Linked DNA regions of Anolis sagrei. The protein of the gene in region 1 binds, or shares a complex with, the protein of each later gene. Links are inferred from orthologs where the notes say so. Each region holds a gene or a part of one and is shown in the gene's direction. Other genes may lie near its edges. The genes, in order: RASIP1 and RAP1B.

The links.
Region 2: the proteins of RASIP1 (region 1) and RAP1B are in contact, whole or in part, in a crystal structure (PDB 5KHO), measured with the Homo sapiens proteins. The link is inferred for Anolis sagrei from reciprocal best matches to the Homo sapiens genes RASIP1 and RAP1B. Residues at the interface, in NP_060275.2 of Homo sapiens: Val147, Lys149, Ala156, Ser157, Gly158, Ala159, Asn160, Tyr161, Lys162, Ser163, Val164, Leu165, Glu181, Arg182; in NP_001010942.1 of Homo sapiens: Val24, Gln25, Asp33, Pro34, Thr35, Ile36, Glu37, Asp38, Ser39, Tyr40, Arg41, Glu54, Leu56, Phe64.

Annotation. Positions count from the first base shown.
Region 1 is NC_090026.1:18,471,403-18,486,806, reverse strand, and holds the start of RASIP1 (ras-interacting protein 1), read left to right. Parts: upstream 1-8,644; 5' UTR 8,645-8,910; intron 8,911-10,622; 5' UTR 10,623-10,641; coding exon 10,642-10,775; intron 10,776-11,584; coding exon 11,585-12,162; intron 12,163-14,230; coding exon 14,231-14,595; intron 14,596-15,404. Other genes in the region: COX6B2 (cytochrome c oxidase subunit 6B2), read left to right, coding at 2,904-3,033, 4,160-4,260, 5,158-5,211. UniProt on the Homo sapiens protein: Required for the proper formation of vascular structures that develop via both vasculogenesis and angiogenesis.
Region 2 is NC_090025.1:143,041,930-143,058,206, forward strand, and holds the start of RAP1B (ras-related protein Rap-1b), read left to right. Parts: upstream 1-10,064; 5' UTR 10,065-10,237; intron 10,238-16,277. UniProt on the Homo sapiens protein: GTP-binding protein that possesses intrinsic GTPase activity. Contributes to the polarizing activity of KRIT1 and CDH5 in the establishment and maintenance of correct endothelial cell polarity and vascular lumen.

The DNA of each region.
Region 1 (15,404 bases):
CTCCAATGAGCAGCCGGGCTTTATTTCCTGAAGTATGGACTGGTTGGATCTTCTCGCGGTCCAAGGCACTCTCAGAACTTTCTTCCAACACCAAAATTCAAAAGCATCTATCATCCTTCGCTCAGCCTTCCTTATGGTCCAGCTCTCACATCCCGTAGGTGACTGGGGAATACCATTGCTTTAACTATGCAAATCTTTGTTGCCAGTGTGATGTCTCTACTCTTCACTATTTTATCAAGATTGGCAATTGCTCTCCTCCCAAGAAGTAAGCATCTTCTGATTTCCTGGCTGTAGTCTGCAACTGCAATAATCTTTGTACCTAGAAATACAAAGCTTTAACTGTACGTATTTTTGTTGCCAGTGTGATGTCTCTTCACTATTTTATCGAGATTGGTCATTGCTCTCCTCTCAATAAGTACCGTAAGCATCTTCTGATTTCCTGGCTGCAGTCTGCATCTGCAATAATCTTTGCACCTAGAAATACGAAGTCTGTCACTGCCTCCACGTTTTCTCCCTCTATTTGCCAGTTATCAATCAGTCCGGTTGCCATAATCTTGGGGTTTTTTTAAAGTTTTACTGCAACCCAGCTTTTGCACTTTCTTCTTTCACCTTGATTAGAAGGCTCCTCAGCTCCTCCATCAAAGTGGTATCATCTGCATATCTAAGGTTGCTAATGTTTCTTTCAGCTATTTTTGCCCAGCCTTGCATTCATCAAGATGTGTTCTGCATACAAGTTGAATAGGTTGGGTGAGAGTATACAACCCTGTCGTACGCCTTTCTCAATCTTGAACCAATCTGTATTAGTTAGGCCTATTTTGATAGTAACTCTCAAGCAACAAGACACTATTTATCCGGCATGTAGCAGTTAACTCATGTACAATGAATTAGGGCGCTTCCAGACGGCACTAAATCACGAGTTTTAAACAAGGGCAAAAAATCCTGGGAATTCAGAAGAGGTCCACATACAGAGTGTTTGGTCCTGGAATTTCTGCCTCCGTTGTCCAAACTTGATGTTTTGTTGCGAGATTTAGAGACTCCCAAGATGGCTGCTGCAGGACTTTTGCTGGAAATTTCAGTGATTTTTTTAAGACTCAAGCTGTGGATATACGGAGAATCACTGCAGCAAATCACTGCAACAGTTCTGTTCTTGGTCCTGGCCAGAGAAACTGTGCCGTTCATATTTTTCATGAAGTATCTGCCACACAAAGCTTATGGGTTAGGACCACTTCTCAAACAGGAGCACACACTTTCAAGCCAGGAACAGAACTTTGCCATTATTGACACTTTTAAGAGCCTGGCTGACTGGTCACCTGCCCAGACAGATTTGGTTGTGTACTTGTGGCATCAAACAGCAGGGTGCTGTTCCTGGGTTATACGTGGCTATTCCTGATCGCTCTTCTTGTGAAAAGATGTGCAACATTGACTCGTGGGCCACAACTTCGTCCTGGCCACAGAAAATGTGCCCTCCACACGTGTCAAGAAGTACCTGGAACAAAAACAAAGTTTTTGCCTTCTACTCAAGTGTCACCCTTTTAGGAACCAACCAATCAGGAACAAACATCTAAAACCTGGGAACAAGCCCAGTTAAAAAACCTGTGATTTCCGATTACAGGGACATACAGACATGTGAAGATTCGCATATTTGGTTAAAAACTGCAATATTCCCACACCTGGAATGCTCACATGTTTTGCCTTTTGTAGCAATTGCTTCAGCGTTTACAGGGAATGGCGCTTGGCCACTCTCCTATTTGCTGCGGAAGCTCCTGGGATAAAGGAACTGTCTGGATGGGCTCCTAGACTGCATTGTTAATAATCTCTCAATTCACTTCCATATCATTTCAAGGGTGACTCAAAGGCTAAAATTTGTTGAAAATGTTGTAACCGTGTGTTATAATTTGGAGGTGGGGGAGTATTTCTCTTTAAATTCCTGTACAAACAATAGCTGTGTTCACTACAAAGAAAATTCAGAACCTATATGAATGCACAATTATGCTGATAACTCTTATCTTCAGTAGGTAGTGCTCAATTTCATAGGGAAATAACACAATACTGTAATCTAAGCACTGAGAATAAAATGGTCTGAATATCCTTGGGCAGATGGGGCAAATATCTCAATAGGGCACAGTTTTTGTTGTTGTAGATCTCTGGTATTTATAAAGTATCCAAACAATGTTCTGCTCTTCTCCACACTCGCATGTTGTGGACTCCACTTTGTGGCCCCATTTCTTAAGTTTGACTCTGCATCTCGTGATGCCAGAACACAGTCTGTTCAGTACCTTCCAAGTCGCCCAGTCTTATGTGTCCCCAGGAGGGAGTTTTTTCCTCAGGTCTCAGCCACTGATTGAGGTTCCGGGTTTCAAGCAGCCACTTTTGAACTGCTTCCTGAGGTGTTCCTGCGAGTATCTCTGTAGATCTTAGAAAGCTGTTTCTTGATTTGAGGCATTGGTAGTCTTATGTGTGCCCAGGAGGGAGTTTATGATTCCCAGTTGTGCCAGGCAGCTTTCATATGACATTATTTCTCGCACCCAATTTTGCTGATAGTCAAGCAGTGTTTCTTGTAAGTCAAAGCATGGTTCAGGGTAACTCACAGGTATTTTGGTGTGCTTCAATGCTCTAGTGGGATTCCTTCCCACTGGAGCATTGAACGTGGTTGAATGTTTTGTAGATAAGAAGATATTGTAACTGCTCAGCTAAAGATACAGGTTGGATTGGCCTAGAAAAGCATTGCCATTTCTTAATCTTGTAATATCTTTTGGGGCAATTTTCCACCAGAAAAATTGGTAGATATCACTCAGATACAGAGTTCCAACATTTTCTAAAAAGCAAGAGTGGGTGGCTGGGATTGTTCTGGGGTTTTTTGTGGCAGTTCTTCTGAATGAGTTTTCTTTCTCTGCCTCACAGAAATGCAGAAAGTTTTTGCAGCTGAAGACTTCTCCAAGCTGAAGAAAAAACAAGGCGACTATCTCACAGCTCCATTTGACCCACGTTTTCCAAACACCAACCAAACTCGTAACTGTTATCAGAATTATTTGGGTGAGTTTTAAAAGAGGATAGATGCATTGCAGTGAATGAATTTTATTTGTGATGTTGAACTGTTTCTGTTATATTTTGGAGGGACATGATAACAATGGTAACAATGATCATACAAGCTTAAGTATTTTTCCCTCCAGCTTTGTATGTTATTTACACATAGAGTCTTGCTTATCCAACCTTTGCTCATCCAGCGTTCTGTATTCTCCAATGCAGTCTGCCTCCTGCCGAGATCCACAGCTGTTTCAATACATTGCGATGTTTTGGTGCTACATTCGTAAATACAGTAATTACTACATACACTTACCGTATATTCAACTACTTTTTCTGTCGTTTTGTTGTAAAACATGATGTTTTGGTGCTTAATTTGTAAAACCATAACATAATTTGACGCTTAATAGGCTTTTCCTTAATCCCTCCTTATTATACAACATTTTCGCTTCTCCAGCATTCTGTCGGCCCATTTATGTTGGATAAGCGAGACTCTACTTTAACTCTGAATCTGCAGCATGCCTGACAAACAACTAATTAAATGCAATACTAAATTATTTCATTCAAGAAAGAAGGATGCAACCTGACAGCAAGGGTTATATTTTGAGTCACTTCAGGATTGCAACTGTGGCCCTCCAAATGTGTCTGGACCACAGCACCTATATCTTCTCATCATTAGTGATACAGGCTGGAATGATGGGAGCTGTAGGCAGAACACTTCTGGACACCCAATTGACCATCCTTGTCATTCTTGAATGCTCTCATCTTGAGCTCCCATCATACTTCCTTGGAAGTAAGTCCTGTTGAACATAATGGGACTTCTGAGTAAACATGGGTAGGACCAGTGTCTCAGGAGCCAAAGCAAAATAGGGTCAGATGTCATTCTACTTCAGCCATATTTCCTTGGTAGATTAAGAGTGAAATATTGGAAAGTATTCTTGGTTAGCTTGATTTTCAGTGGAGAGAGAGAAGGGTATTCCTGGCTATGCACGACACAGATGCCATAACTGAGAAGCTCATTAAACACAGCTATGAAGCAGATTAAGCACATTAAACAAATATTAAATGACTCAGTTTAGGCAGACACTGACAGCACTTCAAAAGATGTTATGACGTCGCTTCTCCTTCTTCCTTACAGATTATTACCGATGTGTGAAGATTATGAAAGCCAAAGGAAAGGACACTGCAGTATGTGAGTGGTACCACAGGGTTTACAAGTCCCTATGTCCAATTTCTTGGGTACGTGACATTTGAATTCCTAAGCAAGCATTGCAAAAAGAGTCAAGCAGCACACTGGTATTAAATGTGAAATCTGAAGCTATTTATTTATTTATTTATTTATTAGAATATGTCTATCTTGCTCTCAAACATGATATCAGGGAAGCATTTTAAAAAAGGATTTGAAATAATTCCAGATTTAAAAATAATTTGGATAAAATAAAGTTTTAAGAAAAACCAAAACAAAGTTTCAAACTATCCCCTATGTATATCTAGTTAGCACATACTCATATTAGAGTAAAGAACATGCTGTTTTGCTACAAATGATGCATGCAGCATAACATATGGATTGCTCCCCCCCCCCCCCCCGCCCCCCAATCTCATGGCTAGGCAGCACCTCCTGACTTCAGACCAAGTGGGGCTCTGCTGGGATGATGCTTGACAGGGAAGTCAGAGGTAATGCTTTGCCGGCCCCAAAGAGACAGGCACTGTTTGTTTTGCCTTTTCAGCAATGAGGGCCCCAATTAGACATTTTTTTAAAAAAAATGTGGTTTGCCATCCACTGATTTGAACCTCCCCACTCCTCAATGCCACCTTGATCCAGATAGACACACTGAAAAAAATACTCCCCCTCTTGAAACTATAGATTAAAAAAAAAACAACACATTACAGCCTTTAAAAAGCTCTTTCACTGTTAAAATGATCATGTGTCATGTGTTCCTACAGCACCCAAATAAAGATAGTCACTGTTTTCTTTTTCTTGTGTAGTCAACCCCAGACACAACTTGAAGACACACAACTATATAGGGATTGTGTGGGAGGGAAAAGAATATAATGTGATTTATTTTGCTGTGGATCCATATGTCTTGCTTCCTCTCTTAAGGTGCCCAACTTCCTGTCTGCTTTCCCTTTCTGCAGGTAAAGCGCTGGGATGAGCAGCGTGCACAGGGAACTTTTGCTGGCAAAATATGAATCTCCCAGTCCTCTTCATCTAAAATGGAGATACCCTTGGAAAGTCCTCACAATGGCTATTATTACAACCCTATGATTCTATTCTAACCCCGTCTAGATTGATCAACCAAGCTGTGAATTGTTTCAGCAGATTGAATTATTCAGATATGTTTGTGAACTTATTTTTTAAAACCTACCAATAAAAATTGTAAAGAAAATTAAGAGAAAAATCATTTCTAATATTTATTACTGAAAATATAAAAATGCAACATTTTCATTCCCTATTTCCTAATGCCTTACTATCAAGAATTTTTTTTATTCTTCTATGAGCCTTTATATATAATAAACAGAAAAAAGTAAAAAAAATATTTTTTATGTTTAATACACACACACACATACATACATGTATACATAATTTTCTTAATTAATGCTAAAATTTGTCTATTTGTTTTATTTGTCTATGTCTAAGTCATTCAAATAAAAATGAATTATAAAAGAAACAAGTAATATAACTAAACCATACAAAGGTTAATATTAAAATTGAAATAAGCTACTCATAATATATTTCAAAAATTAAAAATAAGGGATTTAAACACAGTTAAGAAACAATTCAATAAAAACAGTGAAGCTCCCTTAACTCTAAGGGTTTATTGGATTTTTTTTTTTAAAAAAATGGATGTAGCAAATGCACGCCCAGTAGACACCCGAAGTAATGAATACAAAAGGTGTGAAGTCAAGGCATAAACACAACTCCCCTGCCCACGCCCAAAGATGCTGGCACAGAACACAAGGGTGTGAGGGAAATGAATGCTCACGTACTGAGCAGGTACACACCTAAAATCCTGGCTGGGGTCGGGGAAAGTGACTGAACACACCCTGCAAGGACAACTGAAAAAGAGCAAGTGTGCCTATAAAGAAGAGTGTGGCAAAGGGAAAACAAGTCTCTTCCTAGAATAATGATTGAGGAAACAGGTGTAGGAAATACAGTTATGCACATGTAGTATTCAGAGGCCTGGCAGCAAGCACAAGGTTACTACTCCCTGACCTCCGCAGTACACTACTGTGCATACTGCCACCTCGAGTGCTGCTGAGTGTCCCACTACGGCTTTACCGAGGATTTTCTTCTGTTTGAGGGCTAGCCAGTCTGAGTTTAGTTTAAAGATAAATAATAATTATCTTAAGGGGCAGCATGTTGTAGTGATTTGAATATTGGATTATGACTCCAAGAAAGCAGGGTTCAAACCCACAATCCGTCATGGAAACCCACTGGGGGACTTTTCAGCAAGTTATTTTCTCTCACTTCATGGCAGGCAATAGCCAGCCTCCAATATACATCTTGCTTGCCAAGAAAACCCTAGAATAGAATCACCAACATGCAGTATATGTTAAACTAAGGTTTTGAGCTGTTCATCCAAGGAATTGATTAACTGGTTGACTTGGGATATCTGGAGTTGATGTTTAGGAAATGTGGAGTTGATGTGGGGATTCTGAAACTGACCGTTTGGTTGGCCGTACATTATGCCTGCCAGCTGTGATTCCATTGAGTGTACAATTCAATAGACGAAAATCAATTGAAAAACAAGCCTTATTCTCACTAATGGGACTAGTGTGAAACAACTCTCTGATGGACAACATTTTAGAGCAGGCATCCACAAACTTTTGCCCTGCAGTTGTTTGGCCCTCCAACTCCCAGAAGACCTAGCCAGCTTGTTTAATGGCCAGGAATTCTTGGAGTTGGAGGTCCAAACAGCTGGAGGGCCTCAGCTTAAAGATGCCTGTTCTATGGTGTATACACATTATCCATTTATAGCAGTTTTATGCCCATGGACACACCTCTATCAGACAAAATCTTGGCACATATAATTTGGTGAGAATTATCTGCTAGAAAGCTCCAGTGCAGAGAATCTAAATTCTTTCAAACTACAAATAATACTAATTTGTCTATGATAGTAGAAATGATATCAATATGCTATAAATTGTGTTTATTAGAATGCCTAACAATTTTACAAACCTGCCACAGAGATCCACTATCATTGTCCACACTAGGATCAACGCTGTAACTATTTCTTTCATCATATCAGTATCACCAGCTAATATGGGCACGAGATAGGCACATTTTACTGCATAGCCTCTTTTCAGCCAGTAATAGGAACCGGATACTAACAAGAATAGGATTCAGCCATAGGTATGCCACCTCAAGTACTGCTTTTTGGAACAGAGTCTTGCCAGCTGATTGAAAATAATTGATGTTTTTAGCATAAGTTCTCCTGGACTCATTGCTGAGCCTGGAACCTCAGGTTGCGGTGGTGGCTAGGGGGGCTTTATTAAAACTTGTATGCCAGTTGCACCTGTACCTTGGAAAGTCAGACGGCCATGGTAGTCCACGCTCTTGTTACCTCTAGGATATACTACTGCAACGAGTTCTATGTGGGGTTGCCTTTGAAGACTGTTCAGAAGCTTCAAACAGTCCAACGAGAGGCAGCCAGGTTAATAACTGGGTTGGCATACAGGGAGCACACAACTCCCATGTTGTGTCAGGTCCACTGGTTTGCTACCAAGCCCAATTCAAAGTCCTGGCTGTGGCCTATGAAGCCCTAAATGGCCCCGGCGCAATCTACCCATCTGAATGCATCTCCCTCTATGAACCATCGCAGAGATTAAGATCTTCCAGGGAGGCCCCACTCTCGGTCCTGCCACCATCACAGGCATAATTGACAGGGATGATGGAGAAGGTCTTCTCAATGATCACCCTACAGCTATGGAACTCCCTCCCTGGTGAGATTAGATCAGCCCCCCCCCCCCCCCAACCTCCTGTCCTTCAGAAAGATGGTAAAAACTTGGCTATGGGACCAAACCTTTGGGACAGTGCAATAAGGCAACGATAGCAAATTTTACCCTTCTGATCAGATTCAGTATGGAAGATCTGAGATGGTTTTAAACAATTGATTTTAAAGTGGAGATAACTGATTTTAGTGTTTATGTATATTTATAGTTTATTTTATGTTCCGGCATTGAATGTTTGCCGTATATATGTTGTGCTCTGGCCTGAGTCCCCTTTGGGGTGAGAAGGGCAGAATATAAATGCTTTAAATAAATAAGTAAATAAATGTTTTTAGCATAAGAAGTTAAGAATGCTGAACCTGCTTGTTAACACCATTACCTAGCTTCTGCTAGAGTAGTAAGAATGTTGGCAAGTTTTTTTGAGGGCAAATGTTGGCAACAGCAGAAAGATGAGTCAGTCCAGGCAGGTCTTTCCCATGGTTCCTCCAAGGCCAGCCAAATTATTGTGTCTGTACGCCTAAGTATTTGGCAACTGTAGTATGAAGTGTCAAGGAACCAACTTCTAATTGTTTAAATCCACCCCTTCCCCATCTCAGTTTTACTGCCAGGGATTTCCTGGCCCTGCATCTATTAGTTCAGATGTCTTCGCCTTTCTGTCCCATTCCCCCCCCCCCAGTTCTTGGGAGAGGCCCTGCTTCCCAGCCAGTTTCCTGCTCCCCCCATCTCCTTTTCCTGCCCCACCTCCTGTGTGTGAATGACCAGAGGAAATCCGTGCGCAGTCATCGCCGGACTTAAGTCACACAGCGCACACAAGAACGCCCTAGCAGAGACTGGCCACCGTATCCTAGAGAAGAAGAAGATGGAGCCTGGCTGGCTGTAGGATGCATGAGAGAGAGTAACATCTGGAGACTGCACCAGCTAGGACTCCCTTTGGAGCAGGTAACAATGCTAAACCTATAGCTGTATGCATGTACCAATAATCCTGTAGATTGATACGCAGAATTCAAAACTGGGAATGGACATCAAACAGGTGGTAAAATGGGCATGGATATGTGTGTATTTTCACCCCTCTTCCCCACATCTCAAAGGCAACTCAAGGAGATCTGGTCTAAGCCATCCTTCTCATCTTGTCTTTTGCTTCCTCTTATAAACCCAGCAATCCTAGCTCTTTGCTTGTCTGTGTGCAGATTCATTAGATCCCATTCCACAGAATCGAAAGCTTATTCCTTCCTGCCTTCTCTTCCTATTCTGTGCTACCACCTCAAAGAACTATTCTAGAAGGACCAGAAAGCTGGTAGAATGGGAGGAACAGACACCAAAACCCTTTTGGAGGGAAACATAAATTTCTAATTGGCTCTGAGCTCAATGTAAGGCAAAGCAAGAATTTCTGCTTCAATGGGTAGCTTGGGGTCATACCATTACAAAACAGTATATTGAAGATAGTTGGTTTACCACCTGTGTAGGATAACGTTGTATTGCATTATTAATATTAATTTTAAAATCTAAATGCAAAACAAGGGGATGGGGGGGGGAGCAGGAAGAGAAGAGGGTGGGGCTATAAACGCATAGAATATGAATGTTGACTAGGCCTAGTATGTTAATATGAATTAACCATGTGGGCAAAAATACATTGACCTGGAGTTGACACTCATACAATAAGTGTCATGAATGGCTAAACCACTAGGTTCTTCTTCTCATAGACAGTGATGGGAGTGAATATTTGACTTCCCAATTTTGGATCATGAGTACGTTAATCAGTAAGAACACAAAGATCCAACCCTGTTGATCATGTTCCATCTTTAAGAACCAAGGAATTGAAGGGGTGCCTCTCTGAGGTGAGGCTCCAGCTATCCTGACTCTTATCTCATCTTTTTCCTGTTGACGTCATGGTTTGACTCAGAGATTCTGACTCACCCCCTCGTGGCCAGAGCAGACATTTAGCTTTGATCTCACTTTTAAGTCTATAATGCAGGAATGCTGTACTTTTGTACAGAATACATAAAGAACAATGGGCAAGGGATAGTTCCAAGGGTTCCCTTGGAAATTGGTGGGATTTGGATTTTAATACAAGGAATAATAATAATAATAATAATAATAATAATAATAATAATAATAATAATCTGTGATCAGTCTTGTAAAGTGCATATATTCATTTGGTCAAAGGCTTGTTGAAAACTATATCTTCAATTGTGTACAGAAGGCTTGGAGAGTGGGGGCTAGTCTGATCTCCCTTGAGAGGGCATTCCAAAGCCGGGGGGCCACCACCAAGAAGACCCTCTCTCTCGTCTCCACCAACTGTACTTGAGATGGGGGTGGGACCAAGAGTAGGGCCTCCCTGATAAAACTTAGTGCCCGTGCTGGCTCATAGAAAGAGATGCAGTCTCAAAGATAGGTTGAACGCGAAGCTATAGAGCTTTATAGGTAATAAACTACATTTTGAAAGGACCTTGAGCAAAATAAGAGTGTGAAGGATATATTAACATGGGCCTTAAGCAGTTGAGACTCTTTCCTTTGCTACCCAAGATGGCACCCCTCCATTCCATTGACAGTTTCTGTATATGGAATGGAAGATGGAAGCCCAGATATTCCTGGAATCAGTATCTATTAAGAATTGACCTTTTGTGTTCTCTCTTTCACTTTTCCTCTCAAAGGTTCTTGGTCCCTGTGGCCATGTTTTCAGATGAGCGGAAGGACGGGAGCCCCCGCTTTGGGAAGCTTCACTTTCCTGTTGGCCTTTGGATCAACTCCCCAAAGAAACATTTTGCCAAGCTGGGACGCAGGTGGCCAAGCGTGGGGTCGGTCAAGTAAGTGCTTCTCTTCGCCTGGAAGCCCAAGCAACTAGCTTCATGTCAAGCCTTGTTTTCAGTTTTTGATAAACTTATATTTTTGAACTAAATGTCCTTGTTAATTTTTATCATCCTTAATACATACGTCCAGGGTTCTCTTCTCTTTGATGGGAATTTCAGTTATTTCTTCATTGCTGAAGCTTTTAACATTTCACAGATGGCAACCAGGACATAATGTGGCCAAGCAATATCAGAGTGTAGTCAAGATAGCCAAAGTTATTAATAAGGAAACACACAAGCAAAGAGAAGCTCCAGCCATTTGCTGTTGACCGAGTCTATTGGGAAGGCCATGATTTCACCCTTTCCTCTGCTCCTGCATGCAAACTATTTTTACACTTTGAACTCAGTTAAAGTAAGTTTGCAACAAAGATGAAAAGTTGAAGGGACAGAGAAAAGCTAGGACATTTTTAAAAGGGGGTGAGAAAAAAGACAAGCATAATAAATTGGAGCTTTTCTTGTCAAATTGGGACCTTTTTGTACAGATTTATGATTTATTTCTCTAAACTTATTTACATATTTCAGAGAATGGTTAATTTCACATTTATAGAACTCTGATTGGTGCACTGTAGTTTTGGTTTGAAATCAAGCCTACTTCTGTGCTGTCAAAGGCTTTAATGGCCTGGTTGTGAAGTCTCACAACCTCTGAAGATGCTTATCATAGATGTGGGTGAAACGTCAGGAGAGAATACTTCTGGAACATGGCCACACAGCTGGAAAACTCACAACAACCAAGCCTACTTCTTCTAGCATTTCTGTCTTCTTCACAGGTCAACATCCTCAGATACAGCCAGCCGTGGCAGTGAATCCGTGGAGATGCGGCCAGCCACCAAGAATAAGGCCAGTCGACATAAGAGGCTGTCAACACTCTTCCAGAGAGGAGGAACAGGAGGCCCAACCAGTGGAACTGCAGGCCGCTGGGCCAGTGAGAAGAAACTGGCTGACCTCATTGATCCTTTGCCTGAAGACCGAGTCGAGCCCCCATCCCAAGGAGAAGTGCCAGGAATCCTGAAGATCTATGGTGGAGACATCTCCTCAGGTGCCAATTACAAGAGTGTCTTGGCCACTGTGCGCTCCACCGCTCGCCAGCTGGTGAGAGAGGCACTGGAGCGCTATGGTGTGGCACAGGCCAATGCTGAAGATGCCTACGTGTTGTGTGATGTTGTCGGCAGTGTTCATAGCACAGATGGCACCTGGCAGGCCCAGCACCTCCGAGCAGTGGGTGACTCCGAACGGCCCCTCGTACTGCAGGATGTGTGGAAACCCAAGACTGGTTGCACCCGTCGTTTTGAAATCCGGCGGCGATGTGATGTGGAGAGAATGATAGAAGGCGAGGATGACGATGCAGGTATGTTGTGCTTGAGATATCCCAAATGGGACTTTCCCCCCACCCCGTGATAGATCTTGTCCAGAACTTAGAAAGGTTACTTTTTACAACCACAACTCCTAGAATCCCCAAGACAGCATGGCTAGGAGCTATAGTCTCAAAATGAAATTTCCAAATTCTGTTCTGGTGTTCCACTGTAAAGATACCAAAAATCTTCCGGTGCTTTGCTTCCATGGGCAGTGGGAAGAAAATGAAGGATAGTCTTCTTGTCTTTATGGTAGTGAGGAAGAGTTACCAAGAATTGAAGTCTTTCCATGCCCAATGCATAACGAACTTGGAGAAATTATTTAATGCATATGCTTTTATTATGGTTGTTTTTTGGCATCTAATTGTTATATAGGTAATATATAAGCCGCCTTGAGTCCCTTACGGGGTTGAGAAGGGCAGGGTATAAATACAGTAAATAAATAAATAAATGGGTCTTTCAGTGGCAATTCCACATGAAAGCTATGAAATTGAATATCTATAGTCAGAGGTGCATATGGTGATATACCAAAAGCTGCAGACAAGCAATAGGGCAGGTGTGTGGATATCTAGCCAACAGGTGGATAGACTTCCCCAAGCCCTAGCTCTGGGCAATTCAATGATGTCAGGATGCCAGCACGATTACATCCCAACATTGAGCCATGCCCTCACCTACTGATATAATGCACAAAGCTGAAGCTCCAGTTGAAGTTTTCCCACTGGGCATTTCAGCCAAGGACCTGGAAAAGGGAGGAGTATGTGAAGCGAGAAAAGGAAGCTCCATTAATTGGAGACTATGAGAATTTCTTGCAGAATAGTCTCAAGGACTTTTAGGAGGGGATGGAGGGCATCTGTTAGAATAATAATAATAATAATAATAATAATAATAATAATAATCTTTATTTATACCCCGCCACCATCTCCCCAACGGGGACTTGGGGCGGCTTACATGAGGCCAAGCCCAAACAACAAATTACAATAAAATAAGATACAAGTGACAATAAAATAAACAACATCACAGTAAAATACATAACATATGACTAAAATAAACAAAATACAAAAAAGAGCAGTAAACCAAACATAATGACAGTGAGCGGGCCGCCTGTACATAAAATGATTTAAAAACTCAGGGTGAGATAAAGGAGCAGAATTATTTGTAAGAACTCATAGAGAGATGGGGTGATAGACCGACCTTTGAACAAGGGGGGTGTACTCCAAGGACAAAAACATTAGTCTTGTTATTCTCCTTACCCTAGACTAGGGAACACTAATCACTTCCATGTGGTGTCTCAGAAGATCATGGATGGAGAGAGAATGATGATCTTTTGCCTATGATCTTTTGCACAATGCAACTGAATTATTCTTACCTTGATCTAATGCAGTGATTCTCAACCTGTGGGTCCCCAGATGTTTTGGCCTTCAATTCCCAGAATAGCTGATAAACTGGTTATGATTTCTGGGAGTAGTAGGCCAAAACACCCGGGGACCCAAAGGTTGAGAAATGCAAACACAAAAGTATCCTGTGACTGTTCTATAGTACAGAGCTGGTGAAAGTTGTTTTGGATTGCAGTTTTCCCTATGTAAGTTCTGGGAGCCATCCACTTGTACCTTCATCTTCTTAGGCGATCCTTCGTAGTCCGAGGATGATGGTCCTCCAAGTGTAGTGTCCTGGCAGTGGGTCCGTAGGTGACTGTAGAGCCCTATTCTTGATCTGCATCATCTCCCACAGTGAGGGCATTGGTTTCCAGATGGAAGGCGGTCCCGGTTGGGGTTGGCTTGACACACTTTCCTCTTGGCATGTTTCTCTCTTTCGCCCTCCATTCATGCCTCTTCAAATTCTACAGCTCTGCTGGTCACAGCTGACCTCCATTTGTACAAACACTATATGTCCCTTCATCTCTGCCTTTCCGTGGCCGTTACGTAATATTGTATAACCTTTCCCATGACCTGAATTTGATGATCACAGAGGGTTGAGATAACTTTTTAACATGAAAATTTCTGTTTCTTCTCTAGTTCACCTTATATTTAAATACTTTCCTTCTCTATTCCTCTCCATCTCCCAAAGGTGGCAATTCCCAGAATCGTCGGCAACAATCCCGCCGCTCTCGGGCAGCTTCAGGAGGCCATGCAGCCCCCAAAGAGAGGGCAGACAACCTCTCCCTCCGTCGCAGCATCAGTGAGATGAACCTCAGCATAAAACGCCGCAAGGACCGCAAAGGTGTGCTCAGCATGGCCGTAGGAGAACCCGCAGAAGGGAGTCCCTCTGAGGAGTCACGGCTCAAAGTAGCCGCGGATGGCACATCAGCTCCTCCAGCCTCCGAAGAAGAGGCCGTGGATGTGGCCAGTTTAGAGCAGCTCACCCAGTGCCTCATTCAGCCACCAACAGAACACCCTTATTTTTTACAGTTGTTGGGCTACAATGAAAAGCAGGCAAGTTTTTTCCTGTTTCAGTCTTGTGCCAGTTCACTGTGACAATATTTATATTTTAATTTGAAATATTTATGTACTTCCCTTTGCTGTGAGATCTCAAAATAGCATTCAACTGAGGCAATGCAAAAAAGCAATCAAAATAAAAACATAAAATAAATAGGACAAAGGTACATCATATAGATGAGTCAAAACAGTTTTTAAAAGCAAAAGTATAATAAAATAAAACAAAATCATATACATGTACATCAAAATGGAAAGAAATTAGACTACACAGGTGTTAGCAAAAAGCTGTATTTTAACTTGGTCCCTAAAAGAAGACAGTTTGCACCAAGTGGACCTCCAAGGGAAGGGAACTCCATAAATTGGGGGCCATAGCAGAAAAAGTCCACACTCACATCACCATATAGTGTATTGTCACTAGTGGGACACAGATCTCCAATTGATCTCAGTCTTATATAGAGAGAAGCAGTCCTTCAAGTATCAACGTCCCAAACTGTTTATGGCTTTCAATCTGAGCCTCCTCAAAGAGGGTCCACACCACAGAATATCTTATTTCTTCCTTACCATGCTGTGTTTAGACAAGTAAATCTGTGTAAAAATGTACATTGGAAGGTCATTTTAATGTGAAAACCACTTTCCAGAAGCCCACATTTTTCTATGCGTGCAATAGTATTATTATTTGTGAAATACCCAAACATTTTCCATACACACAGAAAAACCTGGTCTTGACAAACAGTTCAAGACATGCAAATACTGACTGAGAGCTATAAAGAAATACTGTATTCCCATCACAAACACACACACAAAAT
Region 2 (16,277 bases), on another chromosome or scaffold:
CACACCTGTAACAGGTAAACATATGCTTTTCGGGGAAAACAGCACGATCTGTTGGACATCAAAGCAACGGATGCTATACGGCATATTTCGTGATTCTATTTTAATGTTTCCGAATGCATTCCTAAATTGAATTTTCATACACCTTGATGTCATTTCATTTTGATTTAATTGTTTCATGTGACATTGCATTGGAATTGACATATGTCGTTTACTATAGCGTTCATTTCATGAGTATAGTTTATTGTTGTTGCTCCCTCTGTTGGGTTTCCGTAATTTCAAAGCCCCCTCCCCTTTAAAAAATCCCTCGCTGACAATCATTGTCTCATCTGAGGAGGGCAGGCCTTCCTCCCTCCTTCCCACCTTCAATGCCACCCCCACCCTCAGGAATGATGCTGTATATTTATTATTTACTTCACTGGGTCTCCTTAAGGCACCCTGTTTCTTTCTTTAGGCCCCTTCTACACAGCAGTTTATGATCCACATTGAACTGGGTTACATGGCAGTCTGGACTCAGATAACACAGTTCAAAGCAGACATTGTGGATGATCAGCCTTGGTGTTCTTATATGGCTGTAAGGAAGGGGCCTAAGTCTACACCGACATATAATCCAGTACAAAGCAGACATTTTGGATTATCTGCCTTGATATTCTGGGTTGAAGATGTCCTCATTCCTCGCATTCCTATGATTCCATTGTATATGCCATTTCGATTTAAGAGATTGCAATTCTCAATTCGATTGGCGTTTGCAATCACCATCAACAAAGCTCGGGCCAATCTTTAGAATTGTGTGGTTCAGATCTAGTCACGGATTGCTTCTCACATGGACAATTATATGTTGCGTGTTCTAGAGTCGGCAAACCAGACAGTCTCTATATCTGCACAGACAATGGAACAACAACAAAAAAATACTGTATACCCACAAGCATTGTGAAATTAAATATATTAGAAACCTGCTCTTTCTCTTTTCTTTCTTTTCCATTTAACCAGACTGGGCCACAGCAACGTGTGGCCAGGGACAGCCAGTAAATTATATTCTTCTTCAGTATTACAGTTACCAACTATCAAGGGCCTGTCAGCAATGGGGTTATTTTTGAACTGTTTTTACTTCTCTCAGGGCACATGGCCTTATTCTCACCCACCCAAAGTCACAATTTTGCACCCACAGCCTTATTTATTTATTTATTTCAAATATTTACACCCCACCCTTTTCAACCGGGGGGGGGGGGGGGACTCAGGGAAGCTTACAGCCGGCAATGATTTGATGCCCCTATATACACATAATAAAACACAATAATTACATATAAATAAAACATTAAATCAATTCAATTTAAAGCTGTTTAAAATATTACATCCTGGTGGCCTAATCTAAGCCAAATTCTGTGACCAGAGACGATCAGAAGCTTGTCCATAGTCCATTTCCATAGCAAATTGTTATAATTACCATTGTCATTGTCAGCGTGCTACCCGAAGGCCTGGTACCACAACCACATTTTTAACTTCTTTGTGAAGGAAAGGAGAGATGTGGATAACCTAATTTCGCTGGGGAGCAAATTCCACAGGCGGCGGGCCACCACCAAGAAGGCCCTGTCCCTCGTCCCCGCCAAGCGCGTTTGCGACAAAGGTGGGGCCAAGAGCAGGGCCTCCCCAGAGGATGTTAAACTCCGAGGTGGGACGTAGAGGGAGATACGTTCGGACAGGTATGTTGGGCCAGAACCGTATAGGGCTTTATAGGTCAAGACTTATGAGAGCTAGATTCAAAATGTATCTTGTGAGGAATTTAAGCTTAAGATACCTATAGTTCACTGGAACTTTTTTTTTCCACGCTAAATTGTAAAGCCATGTAAGCTGTACTACTGGAATTTGTCAAAAGGGATACAAAATAGAAAAGAAGTATACTTTCCCGTTCAGGGACTTTTTCTGCATCTGGAAACTGACCTAAATTCAGGCTTAGGTAAGAAGAAGGTGGATTGAGACACTCTGCTTTCTTACCCCTCCTCCCTGCTGAAGGTTAGGGACCCCCCCCCCCCCCCAAGAATGAAATAGTAATTCCTTAACTGTGGAATGACTCATTGCAGCTTTTCAGTGTCAGTCCCAGAAGATATTTTTCCAGCAAGCAAACATTACCGAATGGTAGGATTCATTTTGTCTGTTCATAAAAATGATAGAAAACATGAGGCTTTTCACATGTTTTTGGTGGTTGTTCTCAGGCTATGGGACTCTCTACCACTTAAGTGAAGATTTTATGAAAAGAAGCATTTGGTCACTAAAGGTGCATCTACATTGCAGAATGAATGCAGTTTGACACCACTTTAATTGTCATAGCTTAATGCTATGGAACCCTGAGAGTTTTAATTTGGTGAGGCATCAGCCGTCTTTGGCAAAGTAAGGTGAAGACCTTGGAAAACTACAACTTCCATGATTCAAAGGAACTGAGCTATGACAGTTAAAGTGATGTAAAACTATATTAATTCTACAGTGTAGTGCATTATTAGTGAAAAATAAAAATTTTCTGATGGAAGGTGTGTGCTGCATTGTTGTTACATTTTAAAATTATTCTTGCCATGGTTTGAAATTATTTTATTGTCTTAAAATATTTATGTCTCCACATGGTATTATATTTAACTGTGTTTTAATTTTTTGTTACCACTAATTTCTAATGCACATATTTTGTTTAACACATGCATGAGCTATCTTGAGTCCAATTTTGAAGAATAAAGAGATAGAAAATAACATCTCTACCAGCAACTGATCATATATGGACATAATATATTCCACCTAAAGCAACCACAAAACCCATCACTGTAGCCCTTCTCCCTATTGTTTCATCTAGGGAACAAGAAAATCCCATTTCTTAAGGACCATTCCACAATGATAATAATCAATACCTCCATTGTCCCCTAACTGGCTCCCATTTCCCTGACCAGAAGGGCCCTGCCAGAAGAAGGGACAAACTGAGGTTTTCCTCCAATAAAAACTTCGAGAAAGTTCCAGCTAGACCTAATCTACCAATCGCACACTGTAAAACATGACAACAATGAATGTACATCTAACCAATGAAACGTTGGATAGCAATTTGTACCAATTGAAGCAATGCCTATTCTTTTGAATGGCCATAAAATACCAGTATGTGTAAACGGAGGGCATGTCAGATCTGGGATGCTCCCTGGCATCCTTCTTTGATGACTGAAGCAATAAAGATTACCTCTTATTCTGCTTTCAATTCTGCATGTCCTGATTGTAAAATATTAGAGCTGTCATGCCAGGAATAAACCCAGGACAAAACAACATCAGGAAAACCACACAACCCCTTTTCAATGTTTTAAAATGTTCAAGAGCAAGGGTGAAAGCTCCTATTTTAAACATGTATTTATTAAAGTTTAATTAATATTTAACTGTGTTTAATTGGTGTTGGCATCTAATGGTTGCCAGTTGTAAGCTGCCCTGAGTCCACCTCTGGGGGTGAGTAGGAGAGGATATAAATGTCTGAAATAAATAAAATAAATAATAAAGTAATTATAGAAAATATTTGCAGTATAAAGTGTCATATGAATAATCATTTCTTATTTGAAACCAGGAATATCCAAGATCAGTAATTTTAAAAACCTACCCCTCCTACTTGTTATATCTTTTCATTAGACTACATCTTGCAGGAACTCACAGGAACACCTCAACAAGCAAGAGTCCAAAAGTGGTAGATTAAAACCCAGAACCTCAATCAGTGGCCGATACCAGATGAGAAACTCCCCTCTGGCCACGCAGAAGTCTGGGTGACTTGGAAAGCGCTGAACGAACTGCGCTCTGGCACCACAAGATACAGAGCTAAACTTAAGAAATGGGGCTACAAAATGGAGTCCACGACATGCAAGTGTGGAGAAGAGCAAACCACAGACCACCAACTTCAATGCCACATGCACAAGTGGAGCACCTTCTTACAGCAACACCAGAGGCACTTCAATTGGCCAGCTTCTGATCAAAGGAAATCTAATATAATACCTCGTTTTTAACTCTGTGTTTTTAAATACATTACAACTGTACCGTCAATTTGCTAAATAAATAAATAAGGCTACACCTGTAGTTATTAACAATGCTTCAGCAAAAACTGCTCCCTCTGGTTGATGCTTTTGATATTCTACAGAGGAAGTTCAACCAGAGAACTAGTATGTATCTGTGATGTATCTAGTCTACCAAGCTTCCTACAGATAATGATTTGTAACTATTGTGGTTTAGTCTTGTATAAATATTTTAAAAACCCACCAAAGTGTTTCTAAAGAGAGGATAACACAGCATTCATTGGATTAAAATTTCCCAACTATCCATAAATCACACATGAAGGTTTGAAAAATAGGTACATATTCAGTTAACATGGATACATTTAATTCTGCATATTCGTGGACAGGGACTGCATATATGAGAGTATCACATCTTACTGAATGTTTAGGGTAGTAGTCACCCTTATTGTGATAGTAACTTTATCCCCACAAAGCCTGATGAATAGTACTTTTGTTCTTGCTTGTTATCTTGCCTTTTAATGGAACTTTTCCAAGTAACTATGTTTTTGACTAAGACTGACTTGGCATCATGGAGCTGCTCTGCTGCCTACCGAGCCATTTTCACTGGCACACCACCACTCCTGGAGTGAACTGTTGGCAAACTCAGCATGTCTTTCCCTATTCAAGAGCAGCTCCATCCTGGATGTTGATCAACTGTGCCATTTTTTTCTTTGTTGTCAAGGCTAGATAGCAGTTCTTCATCCTAATATGGGCTTGCTTTGGACTCTGAATGGGGCAAACAAGGAGGATGGGGAATTCAAGAGGCAGCAACCCTTCCAAGAGTCTCTACTAGCTTTGGATTGTAATTCAAGCAGCATTTTTATGATGGGTGTTGCTGCCAGGTGTCGGGGAAGGAGTCCTGCTGAATTGCTATTGTGCACATTGGCTCTGAAGAGGCAGGATGACCACCAAGAGCTGGTTGGTCCATGAAGGTGCCAAGTTTGCAGCCCATGTTGTCCTCCTCCAGATTGGTTTCAGAATGCCATCCAGGCAATATATTCTGGGATTTGAAGCAAGGATCTTCTGCTGCTAAACAAAAATTAATCCATCTGGCTATAGATCTTCCTGAACTCTGTGACACTGGGAAGAAAATATGTGCCCTGTTCTATGTCTGATGCTTATCTACATCAGGGCTTAGTTGTAACTGTCCTGTGAAGCATGCAGTGTAGGTCTGAGTTCCAGGAATTCCTTCTCTTTTGCTGCGGATGTGTTTTCTAACCATGAATGGGACCATTTCTCCACTCGCTCAAGTAGATCTGAAACTCTCATCTCTTAATGCCTAATTCCCTGATTTATGGAATGAGTCACTAAAGGTTGCTCCTATCCTTGTGTCTCTGGGAGCATTATACTACAAAATTAATGCTGTCTTGACACCACTTTAACTCCCAAAGCTCAGTGTTATGGAATCATGGGAATGGTAGTTTTACAGGGCCTTTAGCCTTCTGTCAAAGCATGCTGTGCCTCATCAAACTACACGTCCCATGACTCCATAGCATTGAGCCCCTGCAGTTGAAATGGTATTAACTCAAAGTGCATTAACTCCATAGTGTAGATGCATCCTTGAACAGTCTTTGTTGCAAGTCCTGAACACATGGGGAAAGGGTGTTTTGATCCTTGGGTCTTAACTCCCTATCTCAAGCGACTTCTACCTTGGTTCATATACCAAATGGACAATGTATTGGGAATCTCACATCAGAACACATTTTATGTGTGGCCAAGACCCAAAAATAACATATAAAACAGCTCTGTATTTAAGCAAAACAATACGTTTGAGAACATATGTGGGGTGATCGGGGTAAATTATAGGTGTAATAAGGAAATATGATGTATATACTCAGTTTTATCGTATTTACTGTATTTACAGTCCATACTTCAGGAAATAAAGCCCGACTGCTCATTGGAGGGAAGAATATTAGAGACAAAGTTGAAGTATGTATTGTCGAAGGCTTTCATCGCCGGAATCACTGGATTGTTGTAGGTTTTTTTGGGCTATATGGCAATGTTCTAGAGGCATTTTCTCCTGACGTTTTGCCTGCATCTATGGCAAGCATCCTCAGAGGTAGTGAGGTCTATTGGAACTAGGAAAGTGGGTTGTTGTTGTTTGGTTTAGTATTGTGATATGGCCTAAGGGCTAATCAATAAAAATATTGTATTGTATCGTATCACAAGAGAGCCATGTCTTAATCTGAGGCTTGATTCATTCATTGCTCACCAACAAAAGATAGTTGAGCCATTCATGGCAAGATTTCATCAGAGAGGTTTGCCTTTAACTTCCTCTGAGGCTGACAGAGTGTGACTTGCTCAGAGTCATTCAGTAGGTTTCCATGTGTGAGCGGAAATTTGAACCCTGATCTCCAGAGTTGTAGTCCAATACTCAAACCATTACACCATGCTGGTTTGAGTAGAGTCCTATTTTTCCACCTCGAGCTTCATTGCATTGTTTATTGCAGACAAGTTTCTGTTATCTGACACTGAAATATTATGTTTCTCCAGTCCCCAATATTGCTAAAAACCTAGAAAAGGGTTGAGGCAGTAAAATAGTGGCTTCTTTGAATAAATTTGCATTGCAGTATTAATACAGTTTGACATCACTTTAACTGCCAAGGGAGTTGTAATTTGGTAAGGCACCAGCACTCTTTGACAGGGAAGACTAAAGACCTTGTAAACAACAATTCTTATAATTCCACAGTTAAAGTGATGTCCAATTGCATTAATTCTACAGTGTAGATGCACCATTTGTCAGAGGCTTTGTTCTTTTGCATGCCTTTATACCAGGCATGGGCAGACTTTGTTCCTCCAGATGTTTTGGACTTCAAATCCCACCATTCCTAACAGCCGGTCGACTCTTAGGAATTGTGGGAGTTGAAGTCCAAAACACCTGGAGGGCTGAAGTCTGTCCATGCCTTCTATTATACACTTGTGCACATAAAACTCTAAACAAGGGGAGTGAGGTGAGCTCCTGTTGTCAGCGTCAGCTTCTGCCGACCTAGCAGTTTGAAAACATGCAAATGTGGGTCGATCAATAGGTACTGCTTTGTTGGGAAGGTAACAGTGCTCCATGCAGTCATGCTGGCCACATGACCTTGGAGGTGTCTATGGACAACGCCAGCTCTTCAGCTTAGAAAAGGAGATGAGCACCAACTCCCAGAGTTGGACACAACTGGACTTAATATAAGGGAAAACCTTTACCTTTATCTTACAGCAGTATTTATATGGACAACTAGCTTTATTCTAACCAAGTTGGCAGAAAAGTACATTTTATTATTTGCCCAGCTTACTCTGGAGTAACTATGTTTAGGGGCAGGCTGCAAGAATTTCACAAAATGAACTAAAGATAGCAAGACACTTTGGAAAGAACATAGTGTTTTTTATTGTGAGGAACTTGTCTCTCTTTCTGCCACCACTCCCTTTCCTACAAATGTCACTGCCACTGCAACTTCCTGCCAGTTTTACACAAGACCCAATTTATCTAAAGTTAGTCAGACCTAAATTGCACTGGCAGGAAGAGAAGCAGTTTGTTGTAATGAGCTTAACAAAACAGTCCTGTGCATATTTAGTCAGTCCCTTATATAAACAATTGCAATGTGAGCCTAAAAGATATTAAGTTTTACATCTGAGTAGGGGTTTTTTTTGTTATTGTTAACTTTGATGGGTTAGTATTCAAGACAAAGGAATATAGAACAACTGTCACAATGGTGTGGGGAAAATGGATTGTTTGTTGTTGTTTGTATCCTGTTCCCCCCCCCCCCCCCAAAAAAAATTGGAGCTCAAAGTAGCTTACAATTAAAAAAAATACAATGAAACCATACAAAAATTAAGATTACATTAAACTACAGTACAACACCCACATCTATGGGGAATACATTCCTGAACGTAGTGTGGAAACGGAAAACTATAGATAATAGTAAAGGTAAAAGTTAATAATAATAATAATAATAATAATAATAATAATAACAATAACAAACTTTATTTATAACCTACCACCATCTCCCCAAAGGGGACTCGGGGCGGCTAACATGAGGCCAAACTCAAAATAATACAACATAATTAGACACAAAGCAGCAAGAATACATCATAATAAAATATATAAAATAACAAATAACATAAGCAGTATAAATAAGCTTCCCTGACATTAAGTCTAGCCGTGTCTGACTCAGTTTCTAAGCCAAGGAGCCAGCATTTTGCGTGGACACCTCCAAGGTTATGTGACCAGCATGACTGCATGGAGCGCCATTACGTTCCCGCTGGACCAGTACCTATTGATCTACTCACATTTGCATGCTTTTGAACTGCTAGCTTGGCAGAAGCTGGGGCTAACAGCAGGAACTCACCCCGCTCCCTGGATTCAAACCACTAACCTTTCAGTCAGCAAGTTCAGCGTGTCAGCAGTTTAACCCACTGAACCACCAACGCTAAATGAATCACTTTCACAGGAAGTTACTATAGTCACCTAGAACATCTTGTAGCAATCTCTAGGTTTTCCAGTCCGATTTTATGGTCAATTTCAGGTGGAAATTGACCACAGAAATGCACTGGAAGACCAAGAGATTCCTGGAGGGAACATATTATTCGTATCAACTGTCTGGTGGCGCAATGAGTTAAACCCTTGTGCCAGAAGACTGCTGACCAACAGGTCAGAGGTTCAAATCTGGGGAGAGTGGGTTGAGCTCCCTCTGTCAGCTCCAGCTCCTCATGCAGGGACATGAGAGAAGCCTCCCACAAGGATGATAAAAACATCTAGGCGTCCCCTGGGCAATGTCTGTACAGATGGCCAATTCTCTCAGTTCCTCAAGCCGCTCCTCACACGGAAAAAAAAATCAACAAATAACCAATCTGCAAAAATATAACCCACAAATGAGGAAGGTCAACTATATAGCCCACCTTTACCGTCAAGGCAGCTCTTCCTTCCCACTTTATAGTCACAAAGGCCTCAAAAGGTAGGCCTAGATCAGAGTCAACCAGGGAGTTCTATGTAGTTTTGCAAGAACTACAAATCCTAGGAGTCCTTAGTATTGGCAGCTGAAGCGGCACCACGCAGCGTTAATTCCACAGTGTAGATCAGGCATGGCAAACTTCGCCCCTCCAGGTGTTTTGGACTTCAACTCCCACAATTCCTAACTGTCTACCGGCTGTTAGGAATTGTGGAAGTTGTAGTCCAACACAACTGGAAGGCCGAAAATTACCCATGCCTTGTGTAAATGTAGTTCAGGACCTCTCTGGCCGAGAAGCCCCCCCCCCCTCATCCCCTTAAAACTGCAAATCCCAGGAATCCACAAGAGACAGCCAAGCAATGAGAGGAAGTCATAGGGAGGAGGGAGCAAGCTTGTTTTCCGCTTCCCTGGAGACTAGGACGCGGAACAATGGCTTCAAACTACAAGAGAGGAGATTCCATCTGAACATGAGGAAGAACTTCCTGACTGTGAGAGCCGTTCAGCAGTGGAACTCTCTGCCCCGGAGTGTGGTGGAGGCTCCTTCTTTGGAGGCTTTTAAGCAGAGCTGGATGGCCATCTGTCAGGGGTGCTTTGAATGCAATATTCCTGCTTCTTGGCAGAATGGGGTTGGACTGGATGGCCCATGAGGTCTCTTCCAACTTTATGATTCTATGAATAAAAGCGGAACAATATCGCTTTAACAGCGTAGTGTAATTGTGGAGTGGCTTTTCCACCTCCTCGGCCGCCTTTTCTTTAACTGGGCGGTTACTGCAGCGAATGGGGGACCTACGAGAGGAAGAAAGAAAAGAATAAATGAACAGAAAGAGGGAGAAGAGGAAGAAAGAGCTGCAGTTCCTCCGCGCATGCGCATTCTGAGCGGAGAAAACTCGCCCCAAGAGGGAGGGAGACAGACGAGAAGGCTGCAGTTCTTCCGCGCATGCGCATTCCGAGCGGCGAGCTCGCCTCAGGAACAGAGGGTGGGCGGGAGGGGAGAGAAAGGCAGAAGAGAAGGCTGCAGTCCCTCCGCGCATGCGCATTCCGACTGGAGCAGAGGTGGCCCCTCCCTCTTTCCTCCTCCTTCCTCCTGTGCGCGAGCGCTAAACGGGAAGCCAGCGCGAGGCTGCGCGTGCAGCGTCACGGCAACGGCTCCAAGCCTCGCCCAGTCAGAAGGGAGGGGGAAGAGGGCGGGACAAGAGAGAGAGAAGGCGAGGGAGCTTTGGCCAGGACGGCGGCGGCGGGGAGCGGCAGCGCCGTCCGGTAAGTCGAGGCCGCCATGCTGCCTCCGAGGAGAAGCGAGCCTGTGGAGAAGAGGAGAGAGGAGGGAGGGGGAGTCGAGGAAGAGAGGAAGGCGGTTGAGGCGACACAGAGAGAGAGAGAGAGAGAGAACATGGCGGAGGCGGAACCGAGCCCGGCCGCTCCCCTCAGTGGAGAGAGAGATGCCGGGCGAAGGCTGCTCCCCCCTCCTCCCCCTCCTCCCTTTCAATGGCCGCCTCCTCTTCCTCGGGAGAACTTGGAGAAGGGGGAAAAGTTGGAGCCCCCTCCCTGAGGGGAATGAGAGGGAACCCGGGCCTTATAACGGGGGAAAAAGTTCTCGCCGGCCGGCCGGACTCCCTCAGCCCCGCCTGTTTCCATTCTCGGCCTCAGCGGGAAGCTCTGCGGCCGCTCCTCACTTCTGCCATAGGCCTCTTCCGCTTCCTATTTTCCTGCCAGAGAAACTGCCCCTCCACCAAGGAGCCGCATTGAAAGGCTGAAGGGAAGGGAAGGGGTGGCGGCCCACACCGGCCTTTCAGCAGCAGTTCTTCAGCTCCTCGGGGGAATAATGCGGTTTTTTTTTAATCGAGTCTTGGGGTCCTTCCACACAGTCCTAGATTCCAGAATATCAAGGCAGATATTCTCAGACAACCCAGTTCAAAAGCAGGTATTGTGGGATTTCCTGCCTCGATATTCTGGGATATAGGGCTGTGTAGAAAAGCCCTCGCCCTCCCCTAATATTATCATAGTAGACTCTTTGGGCCCTTCCACTCAGCTGAATAAAATCTCACAATTTCTGCTTTGAACTGGGTTATATAGCACTGTGGACTCAGATAACCCAGTTCAAAGCAGATATTGTGGGATTTTCTGTGTTGATATTCTGGGATATAAGGCTGTGTGGACTCATAGCCCAGTTCAAAGCAGATATTCTGGGATTTTCTGCCTTGATATTCTGGGATATAGGACTGTCTAGAAAAGCCCTCATTCTCCCCTAATATGATCACAGTAGCCTTTTTGGGCCCTTCCACACAGCTGAATAAAACCCCACATTTTCTGCTTTGAACTGGGTTATATGGACTCAAGATAACCCAGTTCAAAGTGTGGACTCAAGATAACCCAGTTCAAAGCAGATATTGTGGGATTTTCTGTCTTGATATTCTGGGATATAGGACTGTGTAGAAAAGCCCTCATCCTCCGCTAATATTATAACAGCAGACTCTTTGGCCTCTTCCACACAGCTGAATAAAATCCCACGTTTTCTGCTTTGAACTGGGTTATATAGCAGTGTGGACTCAGATAACCCAGTTCAAAATCAGGTATTGTGGGATTTTCTGCCTTGATATTCTGGGATATAGGACTGTGTAGAAAAGCCTTCATTCTCCCCTAATATTATCACAGTAGACTCTTTGGGCCCTTCAACACAGCTGAATAAAATCCCATATTTTCTGCTTTGAACTGGGTTATATAGCAGTGTGGACTCAGGTAACCCCGTTCAAAATCAGGTATTGTGCAATTTTCTGCCTTGATATTCTGGGATATAGGGCTGTGTGGACTCAGATAATCCAGTTCAAAGCAGATACTGTGGGATTTCCTGTCTTGATATTCTGGGTTATGTGACTGTTTGGAAGGGCCCTTTGCTATCCAGCACCCATGAGAATTGGTTGGTGCTGGAAAAATGTAGTTTCTGGTTGTTTGAGAGTTGTTTCTAAAATTACAAATAAGCCTAACTAATACTGCGTGCCTCATAAACTCTTTGCAGTCTTGATAGGGTGTTCACAATGAAATATGGTATTAATTGAAAGCAGATTTAGGGCCTTTCCAGACAGGCCCTATATCCCAGGATCTGGTCCCAGGTTTTCTATTTATCCCAGATTATCTGACAGTGCAGATTTATATAATCTAGGATCTATATCCCAGAATATCAAGGCAGAAAATCCCACTATATCTGCTTTGAACTGGACTATTTGAGTCCACACTGCCATATATTCCAGTTCAAAGTAGATAATGTGGGATTTTCTGCCTTGATATTCTGGGACATGGGGCTGTGTAGAAGGACCCTCAGTTTAAAGCAGATAATCTGGGATCAGATCCTGGGATATAGTGCAGGGTAAAAGGGGCCTTGATCTGTGTTTTTTTCAATGAATCATATTTCTAGCAAAGTTAACCTTTTGTTTATTTTTAAACAGAAAGTCCCCAGACCTTATATTCAGAGATTTTTTTCAAATATATGATCTGATCCCAGGTTTTAATAATAAAAGGTAAAGGTTTCACCTTGACATTAGATCTAATCAAGTCCGACTCTGGGGGATGGTGCTCATCTCCATGTCCAAGCCAAAGAGCCGGCCTTGTCCATAGACACCTCCAAGGCCATGTGGCCGGCATGACTGCATGGTGCGTTGTTACTTTCCCCCAAAAGCAGTGCCTATTATTCTACTCACATTTGAATGTTTTCAAACTGCTAGGTTGGCAGAAGCTGGGCCTAACAGTGGGAGCTCACCCCGCTCCCCGAATTTGAATTGCCAACCTTTCAGTCACCAAGTTCAGCAGCTCAGTGGTTTAACCCGCTGCGCCACCAGGTAGTCCTGGTTTAATAATAATAACTTTATTCATATCCTCTGCCACCATCTCCCTGAAGGGACTCAGGGCGGCTTACATATGGGTCAAAATGCCCACAAGACATAAAAGCAAAACAATCCATTAAAACAAAAGCACAATTAAAATAGGGCACAGTAAAATAGAACAATCCAGTAAAAAACATAAGAATATAAAATATCCCAAATTATCTGACAGTATGGACTCATATAACCCAGTTTAAAGCAGAAAACCTGGGATCAGATCCTGGGATATAGGGCCTGCCTGGAAGGGCCCCAAGACAAACTTAATGTAACTCAGTTTTGCTGTATTATAAAAACTGCTTGGCTTCTGCATTATGTAATTTTAATTTACCTTTTGAAGTTTTATTGTATTATACATCTATTTAAAATTTTATTTAAAGTATTTCTTCATTTTTGCCACTTGCTTGAGCGTCCTGGTTGCTTAAGTTCCAGGGCCCTTCCACACAGTGAGGTAACCCAGAATACCAAGGCAGGAAATCCCACAATATCTGCTTTGAACTGGGTTATCTTAGTCCACACTGCCATATATTCCAGATCAAAGCAGATAATGTGGAATTTTATTCCACTGTATGAAAGGGGCCTAAGTGTCCTAGCACTTGGGTTGGATTCAGATGCAGGTGGGCAGGGACTATACCAATAATGAAATGGTTAGAGAATACTTAATTGATCACAGATCTTTGGGGGTCCTTCCACACAGCCCTATATCCCAGAATATCAAGGCGGAAAATCCCACACTATGTGCTTTGAACTGGGCTATTTGAGTCCACGCTCAGATAATGTGGGATTTTCTGCTGTGATATTCTGGAATATAGGGCTGTATGGAAGGGACCTGGGTATCATTTGTCCCTGTTACAAAAATCAAGATCAAATAGCAGATGGTTAGGGCCCTTCCACACAGAATATTAAGGCAGAAAATCCCACAGCTTCTCCTTTGAACTGGGTTATCTGAGTCCACATTCAAATGATGTGGGATTTTCTACCTTGATATTCTGGGATATAGGACTGTGTGGAAGGGCCCCTAGTGCCTTGGACACGAATGCAGTGCTCTGCACAAGTATTACTAAAACCAGTGAGTATTCATTTGTGCTAAATTATGATAAAGAGTGCAGGTCTTTGTAGCCTAGTGAAGTTTTCAAAATGGAAATCCTTGGAGTCATAGTATTGGAAGGGAGGGGCTTCATGGGCCATCCAGTCCAACAATGCATGATTGAACATCCTCAGCAGGTAGCTGTTCAGACTCCTTTTAAAGAGATCAAGAAAAAGAGACCCCACCACATCTCTAGGCACTGCTCTTACTGTGAAGAAGTTCCTTATAATGTTCAATGGAAATCCACTTTTCTGCAGCTTCAGACCATTTGATGTGGTCCTACCATCTAAGGCAGCAAAAATAGACCTTCTCCCTCTCTTGTGTGACAACCCTTGAAGTATTTAAAAAGTGCAGTCATGTCAGCCTTCAGTCTTCTCTGTATTAAGTTGAACATAGCCAGCTCATTCAGTGTTTCCTCATATGCCGTACAATAAGCAGTCATTTAAAATCCTGTTTTGCCTGCATCTCTTATTTGGCAGCTTTTTCATAATCTTGTGCTGATACCTTTTCAGTTTCCTGTTAACTTGCCCTAATTCAATATTTCAGTAACTTCCTGTGTTAAACTGAAACCAGACAAGGCTGAAATGAAAATTGTCAAACCCTGTAATTGGTGGGGAGAGTGGCTGTCCTTTTAGTATTCTGGCCTTGGGGTGCTTTTGCAATTAGCCCCATGTCTAGAAAGTCAGGATATAGTAGTGTCTAGTGCCTGTCTGGAACTTCTATTCAGCAGTTGTGTTTGTTTCGATCATAAGGTTTGTCTCAAATATACACGTGAGGCTTCATTACTATAGTGCTCTGCAGATGTTATTACCTTGAAAGTAGGGAAAAATGTGAAGTGGTTTAGAGTGTAGAGGTCATGAAAACTTTTTTTCCGAATAGGGAGAAAACTGTTGGCAAATGCTATTTCCAAAAATAGCCATATTAGTTTGTTGCATCAAGAACAATAGAGTCATGTGGACCTTTGAGGTCTAATACTTTATATAGCATGAACTCTGTCCCATTCCTTATCTGGGCATGTTTTTTACATTGACACTCTAAAGACCTGCGTGGCTTGAAATTTTGTCTCTTCCCATAGCCAAGTTTCAGAAGCAAATCCAATATTGTGTTTATTTTTTAGTCATAAAGACATGTAGAGAAATGTTATTATGACAGCTGCATCTGACCCCCTTCCTAATTAATTGGTGAACAACTGAAAATTTACAAAAAGTAGTAGGGCCTCTTTGGTTTCTTCTTGACTTTGTGCTGTGTTATTGCGCCAGTAGAGCATGATTGTGGATATAAACAGTCATCTGTTGACCATGAGGGTTGGATAGAGCACAAATTGTGTATACTTTAGCAGTTTATTTTTGAAGAATGGCAACTTCTTTTGACTTATCAATAAAAACTCTCTGTACTATGGTGATAGAAATACGAGTGTGGTGTTCCAAAAACACTTTCTCCTAACTTTTTAAAAATACATGCTGCCATGAAATCTGGTTTTCTTTGCATATATCTCTAGGTTGTGAAAAACAATCCAAGATGCAAATAGATGATGATCAGGAGAGTCTACTGATCAAAATCCTCTTTTTATTTATTTCAGATTTAATTAATTGTTGCTTTGAGCAAACTAGACTAAAGTGGTGATAATAGTGCAGATACCATTGCTTTTATGGAACTAATGTAGCCCTCCACAAATACTTTGAAGCAAACTTTTGTTCGGTATTAAAATCCTTAGTATTAATGCATGATTGTAAACCTTGTTTCTTTCCTCTGAATAGAATGAGAATCCATACATGAAAAAAAAATTCCTTAAGAAAGAACCCCTTCTGTAGGCAGAAATCTTTCTATAAGTGGGAGATCTTTTCTCCATTATTATTATTATTATTATTATTATTATTATTATACACTTTATATATTACCCACTTCTCCAAATGGCTTGAGGTGGGGTACAACAAATTAAAAAATATATGAACATAAAAATATAATAAACTACAAAGATAAAAACACAAATATATAGCTATGTATCAAACATAGATACAGAATTGACATATAGTAGCGATATAACGTAAAATGAAACTCATGATTGAAAGCTGACTGGGTAGGCTGCCAGAAGAGATGGGTCTTCAATTGCATATTAAATTCCGACACCTTGTTTAGCTGTCAGATCTCTTCCAACAGGTCATTCCACAGTTGTGGAGTGGCTGATGAAAAGGCCCTCTGGGTGACAGTCACCAGTCAGTTCTGCCTGGCTGAAGTAGCTGTCCATCAGAGGACCTCGTGTCCTAAAGGGAGATTGTGCAGGAGAAGATTATCTTGTAGGTAACCTGGACCCAAACCATGTAGGGCTTTAAGGGTCAAAGCCAGT